Drosophila melanogaster: one gene and its partner. The protein of the gene in region 1 interacts with the protein of each later gene in a pairwise test. Each region holds a gene or a part of one and is shown on either strand. Other genes may lie near its edges.

Region 1 (4,138 bases):
ACTTGGTTATGACAGAGCGGCATGTGTAAATGTCTTAATGCAGCTGGAAGCGTTGACTTCAGAAGTTGAGTTCCTCCTATCTCTGGATGTTTTCGATGAAAACCACTTAAACTTCCCAAAACCATAGAAAATATATAAAACTTACAGTAGCAATAACTCACCTGGAGAACCGTCCGTAATCGGGGATACCGTCATGCACATCTATTGAAACTTCACAGTCAGATGGGAGGGTACAAACTGTGACCCAGCTCTGAACTGAACACTGCAGCTCAGTAACAAACACTTTCGAAACCACAACGGATCACTCGAACTGGGTCACCCAACCGCAGTCGCCACTCGACACAAACTGTCGGCCACGCCCACACGCCCCTCCGAAAGGTGTCTGGTCGGTTTTGGTTTTGTTGTGCTTTTTACCCACTTTTTTTTTCAAAATACCTCACACAAAATAACTGTTTTTCTGTCGGCCATTTTGAGAGATTTTGCTTTATGTGAGCCCCGAAAAAAACCTGTTGGATAAAGCTGAAAGCCGAGTCTCTTAATAATAAATATATTTATAATGAAATGATCATATATATATATAAAAAAAAAACAGGTGTAAACAAGACAAAGCTCCAATAATTAATTGCCTAGCGTTAATTGAAATGCATAAATTATACAGGTAACTTTGCCATATCCGAAGTCGATGGCCCTTGGGCTCCGCCGGCAGAGGGCGAGCCATTGCGTCGAAGGTGCAAGAGTGGTGAATCAATCGTATCCAGACCACTGAGCTCCGGATAACGGTTCTTAGCGGGCGTGGGCGGTGCCTCTCGATAGGCATTGACATCGTTATCGTGATCGGGATTGGGGAACTCACTAGCCAAATGATAGATAACCTTCTTGAATAGGAACTCCGAAAGGTTGGAGCGCAGGAAGAAAAGGAACATCCAGTTGGAAAAGTTACACTTATCAATTACCGCCAATAATTCGTTTTCGTCCAGTTGGCCAGGCTTGGCCCAATAGAGAGACCAGCGGGTAAATGTGACACTAATTAAAGTGGGTTAGAAGGGTTATCACATTATGAAAACATATTTCACACCTATATCCATCCACTCACTTTCTGTAGAAGCACAGGGTTAAAATTCTCCAAAGCAGTCCCAGAACAGTAACAATCAAAAGGAAGGCGTACCAGAACCACAGAATAATGTAGATCTTCTCGTTCATGATGTTCAGCGCCATCACGCAAAGGGCATCGTGCATTTGAATGGAGCCAGAGTCACCAAATTTGTGGAACTTGCACTTGGTAATCTTCGGGAATACTAGATCCAAAACGCTCAGCTCGTCGGACCACCGATTTTTCAGGGCATGTGGTCCCAGTGTGAGGAATTGACCGCCCAAAAAACGGTTGGTCCATGTGATCTGCAGCAGAAGATTAATCAGATTGAGCACCTCCGCGAAGACCAAGTGGGCACCCCACGATTGATTCAGCCGCATCCGGTCGATCATTGTGCGACGAATGTCCTTGACCCGCTCCTCCGCCTCCGCCATCGAGGGAATGTTCAGCTTGCCGATACGCAGACTATCGTTCTTCAGGTACCTCGTTAGACCCACCATTCGAAGGCCAAAGACCAGGGCCTTGATCCGGCCGCCCTCCCAACTCTTCCACAGGGCATGGGGAATGTAGAAGCAGAGAGCCTGGAAGAACAGGACAAAGGGCACCCACTGGTAGTATGCATGCCGCTTGATCGTGTCCTTTTCGGGATCGAATGCCCCTATACCAGGTGGCTCACTTCCCGGCCTGTAGGCAGTTTGGTTCTGGTCACGTACCTATTTGGGGTGCAAGCTATGTTAATAAATGATCTACTGCCGCCAAGGCACATAAATAAAATCTATTCTATCATTTGATCATTTCAGGAATGGGTATGTGGCAACATATATCAACCAACTAATAGCAATAAAACGACTCTAAATCGATTAACCCTATTTAAGTTTTAACCAATAATCAAATAGAGTATTGATAACAGTTGCTCTCAATAGATACTTCTGTGTACCCCGTACATAGATATTTTTTTTAATTCCCTGGTGACCTCTTATAATTTTCCCTTTGTGACCCCGCTGACTTACCACTGTGAAGGTGGGCGTGAAGAAGCAGAAGGTGTTGATGACCGGAGACACAACACCGTCGGATAGGCACTGGATGTGCTCCCCGATGTACTGGCGCGACGTGATCAGGAGGGTGGCCACTAGGAGTATTACGAAGGTCCATCGATAGTGCAGCTTGAACACTATATTGTCGATGACCACACGCGTGAGATCGAACTTGAGGTACTGCCTCACCGAACTGAAGGTGTTCAGCATTGTAACGCCTTCGTTATCTTCGGTTTTGGGTTAGGTTCTGGCCCCGATCCGATCCGATCCGATCCCACTTCTACTTCGTTCACTTTCTTACGATGATTACGACAACTATGGCTGGGTGGCAATTGGAAACGGGCTGGCTTCTGGGTTCGGATGGATTTGTGCGCTCCGCTTGCCGCGGCTAGCTCCTCGTAACTGCAAGGCTCGAGACTCTGCACTTGGTCTCCGGGTCTCGGAACCTTCGGTCTCCGGTCTCCGGTCCCCGTTCGCCGATCTTCATCACCATTCCACATTCGTCGGAGAGGGCTTTCTGGCGCCTTATCGACCGCTCATTTTTGGCCAGGAGAGTCGCCCGGGCCCGATAAGATAACTTCGTCGGGCAGAAATACACGGAAATGCCGAATCAGCAATGGTATTGTGTTTAGTTCAGAGTTGTCCAAGAAAAGAGTAAGGGAAATATGAGAACCTACTGGAGTGCGCTACACTTAGCAGGACTTACGTAGACTATTGGACTATGAGAAAAAAAAAAGAAATTTTTTTCAGCTTCTGACTCGCAGTATAAGCTGAGAGAGGGGCACAATCTTTGTCACTTAGGTTTCAGTCTAAAATGTTAGCAATTTAATTCTTTCAGTGTAGGGCTCTCTTGATACCCAAGAAAACTCCGAAGTTTTTCGGTCATATTTCAAATTTCGCCCAAACATGAGTACTTCGGCATGTATTCGGCTCGTGGCTTCATAAGAATCCGAAAATGATAAGACGAAAGTCACAGAAAGAGCGAAAGAAATTATGAAAATAATACTCATTTTCTCAGGGTTTACCTCATCGGTAAGTTGGCTAAATCTCGCCCTGGTGGGTGGGTGAGTAACTTCCCACCCATCGAAATTCATCCAAGATCCAAGAGCAAAGAGGCCAAGATAACCAAGCAAACAATCATAGGAAATATGAATCAGTGCGGGAAAATATATATGTACATATATGACTCAAGAGATTCAGGATATCAGCAAATTAGTTACACTTCCAAAAACATAGCAAAAATCCCTTAGTGATGCAAGAAATGATCACTTGGTTTTAAGAATAACCATAGAGACTTGCATTGAAATCATTCAAGTGTGGAATTGCAAATTCCGCCGTAATCTGGAACTCTCCGGGTCTTAAAGCGTGCCGCTATCGCCACCCATATTGATTCAATACTGCCTATTCTGATGGATGGGACAGTAATTGGATAAGCGGACATATATCGGCTTGGCGTTATCGTATTGACCCAGATCAGTGCTAGACAGAGGGCTATGTACATACTTACTGAGACTCTTCTTCTTAAGATGGATTATTGCTCGGCTGTTTGCCTTTTTGGCGATATCGTTGCAAGGTTCCACGCAAGGCAATCAGGTGGATATTCACCCTGCGCACTATTGTATTTCATTCTTTGGCCCCGACAATCTTATCTTCCAGTCAATCCCCAGAAAAGACAACGAGTGACTGGCTTACTTACTTTCTAGAATGTAACGGAATTCCAACAGAGATTCGCACTATCAGCTCATAAGTATCTACATATATCTGTTGCTTATCTAAATAGCTCGCCTAGGCATTGTATTTTGGTGCTTATTACTTAAGCGCTCAAGTGGCCGCTCCAAAACTTTGCCGGATAAGATAGTCAAAAATGGCCCCTTTACATACGTACATATAACATTTATAAGTCGTGCGTAACTAGAGACCAGTTAACTATATTAGTAATTGCAACATTTTTAGCCGGTTGACTGCTCGAATTTACCTCTACTTGGGTTTCCCAGGAAATTGCTATGATTACGGC
Region 2 (4,001 bases), on another chromosome or scaffold:
TTAATATTCTAATACAATTTCACGTGTCTCTTTTATTTTTGATCTGTCCTTTAGCTTGGTTCAACAGCGACTGACTGCCGCGCTCTCTGCAGAGTGGCGAGTCGATTAGTCGATAAGTTTCTCGATAATATTTGTATGTTAAGGATGGGTGTATGAGTGTATAAGCTTATGACTAGATTGGCTATGTATAATTAGGTATGTATGACTAAGAGTAAAGGAAGAGGGTAGAAGGAGCAGCCTACTACAATACTAGGCTTTGAAGTACTGAATTCAAAACAATATCTCAATGCTGACGTCAATCAAGTAACTTCTCCAGAAATTTCCCAAGCAATGGGGTTTTACTGTTCCACCTTCTTCTAATACAATAGATGGAGGCCATTGAATTTTTTTAATTAATTATTTAATTAACTTAGCTTGGCAGATAACATTTACAAATACCCATCCCGCAGAAATTATATTTATATTTTGAGGCACATTTTCTGTGAGCCTCTTTTTGAAAGATTTGCTACCAAAAAGGCGAACAACTAATCAACAATTTCAAAAACAACAACATTTAAAACAAATTTCGCTTGGTCGAAGTCAACATTTTTATTAGTTTCTTTTGAATGCCTTCAGCATTGGTATTTATTTATATATTTCATAAAAGGTATCTCGGCAAACAGACGTGGCTGGAGGAGATGCTCATGTACTAGCCGTCGAATTACAAATGGCGTAATCGGGAATTTTGGTGGTGCAGATATTGTTCACCTCGTCGTAGTACGGCGCATTGGTGGGACATGATCCGGTTATTCCGCTGGAGCAGATTGTGTAGTTCTTGCAACCCTCATCTGCCATGAATGGATTGTTAACGTTCCCACATCGGTTATGGGTACAGACAAAGGAGGCTGGCGAAACGCACTTGCCAGCATTGAATTGGGTACCGGTGGGACATTGGTTCCAATAGCCAGTGGCGTTTACTGCTGCACAGTAGTAGTACCCATAGCAGGTGACACCATCAGAAACGTACCTATAGTCAACAGATTCCCCATTTACAGTAAGTGGATCTGCTGCTTTAAAAGCTTCTTCGTCACAAGCAGTTGCATTTGTTTGCCCAACAGTGAACTGGTCAGAGTTTCCACTGTTTGAATCTTCGCCGGTGCACGGATTCGTCGACTGGCAGTTGCCAGTGGCTTTATTATAGTAGGGATTGGCGGTGCTGGAACATTTTTCGGAAGTGCCATAGCCGTTGACGCAGTTGATGTAGTTGCCGCACTGGTTCGGATCGCCTACAAAGATGTTGGACAACATGAACCGACAGATGGTGTCCTGCGGGCAGGCGGGTCCCCATATACATTTTGTGGAGGATGCCGAATAGACGCCGCCGGTGCCGCAATCGCCATAGGAGATTTGGCCTGTGCCATCGCAGTAGGCGTATTCGGTGCAGTTCAACGGATTGGCCACATACATGGGAGATTTGACGTTGGAGCATGTCTCAACGGCACTGGTGGAGCACACCGTGGTATTAGCGTAATCACAGCTGCCGGCCTGCGCGTTGAACACCAAGCCGTTGGGACAGGTGCCCCAGGCCACAACCTCCTGGTTCTTGCAGTATCCCCAGGCATGGCAGTTGCTCGGATTGCCGATGTATCCATAGCCCGACCACTGTTGGCACAGATCATCCATCGTGTAGCCGGTGGCCTGCGATGCCATTAGGAGACATGCGGCCACGACACAGATCCTCATATTGATTGCTAAATGGGGGATACAGGGGGATACGAACTATGAATTATTAAATAAAATATAGACATGTGTAATCGTCGAATAGTTTTCTATTTTGTTTGTACTTAATAATGCAAAGAAATTATGCTAGAAACGACAAAATTGATAGCTTTCAATCCAAAATTCGTGTTAGCGTCTCTAAAATTGGTTAAGCCTTTGTTGTAGCCAACACGGCAGCCCTTTTTTTGGATAAAAAATCAATTAAGGACGAAAGAAAAACTCAATTTGAGTAACAAATCGAAATTTGAAAGTCATTTTAGCCATTTTTGAAAGTCATCTCCTTTGCAGGAGAATTTCAGGGCCTTAAAACCATGTTTGAAACCACTTTTCAAAATTTAGTCGAAGCAAGACGTCTTGAATACTGTGCACCTGAGATAACTGTATCCGTTCTTCGAGCCAACGTACCTCCCATCTTGGAATGCTAATATTTTTCGGGGACAAATTCACTTGATAGACAGACGACCGAAGCGAACGTTCCGATTTCGTTACTAACTCAATCAATTGCAGCCTTTGCGTTTTTATAGTTGACAATTCGCGGCGCGAACTGGGTGGGTAATTAAAAAATTGTCAGCCAGATAAGCCAGCCGCCAGTAGGGCGTTAGTATCGAAATTAATGCTAGATAAGATTCTAAGGTCTGGGGTAAACCACGCACCTTGCATCCCTCCGAAGTTGTTGGGTTAGCTTGAAGGCGGTTCGAAGGCGTTGGACGACGAAAGTGAAACTAGCGGACCCGGCCAAAATGGACTGGCTTATAAGCTCAAATCGATTCTTGGCCAGCGGACACCATACATACTTAGTTTAGTATGTATATATAGTTTATATATATTTTTATACGTTGACAGCCGCGCCGGAATTTGGATTATCAGCTGCTGATTGCGAACCCTCTTTGTCTATAATTGTTTTTTAATTTCGAAGAAGCTCGAGGAGGCGGGAAAGTGTCACGGCTCTTATTGATCACTCAGTGGTGTTTCCCTGGTATCTCGGCACTCATTTCAGCAACACGACATTAGTTAGATATCTCAATTTGAATCGCACTGCGACTCTTGACTTGACTTGACTAGACTTTCCTCTGAAGGTTATCAGGTTCTGGGGAAAAATTACCGAACTACAAATGTTTATATTAATAACTTGTCCAAAAGAACCGTTTGAACTGAAATACAAAATAAATAAATCGCACTATGAAATTATGAAATTATGAGTTATATATATTTATTTATTTGTATGCATAATTAAATAGTACAATTATATGCAAGTATTTTGAAATTTTATTATCTATCTATATAATCTATAAAAATAATTGATGTTAATGTTTAATAACAAAAACCCCATTTTTTTAGTCAGTTTTATTTTCCGTTAAACTATTTTAAATCTATCCGCCTTATTTTATTGTTTCGCCTAAAAGCGAGTTTTGTCCGTTTAGAAATTCGCCCATAAGTATGCAATGACATTTAAACACTTTACTCGATACTTTTTCCAAATCACAAGGCATTTTCGAAGTAATTTAAATTCTTAAAAAATAGTTCAAGCTACGTGCTTATTTACTTTTTATATTTAATTGGTAGAGTACTAAAAATGTTTTTTTTTTTATAATAAAGAAGGGAAGCTCTCTATTAACCCACTAAGCCTTATGAATTAAACCAGCTGATCTTGCTCTTCATTTTATTACTATTTTTTGGCCGAAATGATAACTTATCTACTTCCTATTTAATTTACCGGTAGCCAATTGGCAATCTCCAACTTGTTTATAAAATCACCATTCACTACGACTAGAAATCACCCAGTACTTTAGCAACGAAAAATATAATTAATTTTTTCTGAAGTAAAATTTTATGAATGCTCCTTAAAAACATTAAATTTATAAATACAATTTTATCAAACATTCCCATTTTTTGTGCTCTATCATTTACCTTTTCAAAAATATTATATAGCAAATCCCTAAGCAAAATCAATACATTTGATTGTAATCTTCGAGCTTTTAACAAATGACTTCTATTCATCTTTATTTAACCCATCTTACCCAGTTGAATACCCCTCAAAAACCAATCCGCTTATCTTGCCAGCAAATAGTGATTGCTGCTTATCCTCTGATATTTATAAGTAATCGCAGGTCGACGTTCAGATTCAGTACGAGTTTATGCTTTGTCCAAAGTTGAGCTGTAATGGAAAGTGAGTGGATTGCAAACTGCCAGTGGTGTAAATCTAACTTTATTGTTTTTTCAAATTGCAGAATTTGGTGCCATAC

The links. Proteins that work in one complex are often made in the same cells at the same time.
Region 2: the proteins of Inx7 (region 1) and CG6933 interact in a two-hybrid assay, tested with the Drosophila melanogaster proteins (one large-scale study listed by BioGRID).

What each region holds. Positions count from the first base shown.
Region 1 is NC_004354.4:6,991,080-6,995,217, forward strand, and holds Inx7 (innexin 7), read right to left. Parts: upstream 2,534-4,138; 5' UTR 2,335-2,533; coding exon 2,101-2,334; intron 1,804-2,100; coding exon 1,094-1,803; intron 1,024-1,093; coding exon 651-1,023; 3' UTR 533-650; downstream 1-532. UniProt on the Drosophila melanogaster protein: Structural components of the gap junctions.
Region 2 is NT_037436.4:20,217,934-20,221,934, forward strand, and holds CG6933 (uncharacterized protein), read right to left. Parts: upstream 2,488-4,001; 5' UTR 2,419-2,487; coding exon of another isoform or gene 2,412-2,418; intron 2,303-2,411; 5' UTR 2,171-2,302; coding exon 2,128-2,170; intron 1,731-2,127; coding exon 682-1,730; 3' UTR 569-681; downstream 1-568. Other genes in the region: CG17145 (uncharacterized protein), read left to right, coding at 3,919-3,925, 3,987-4,001.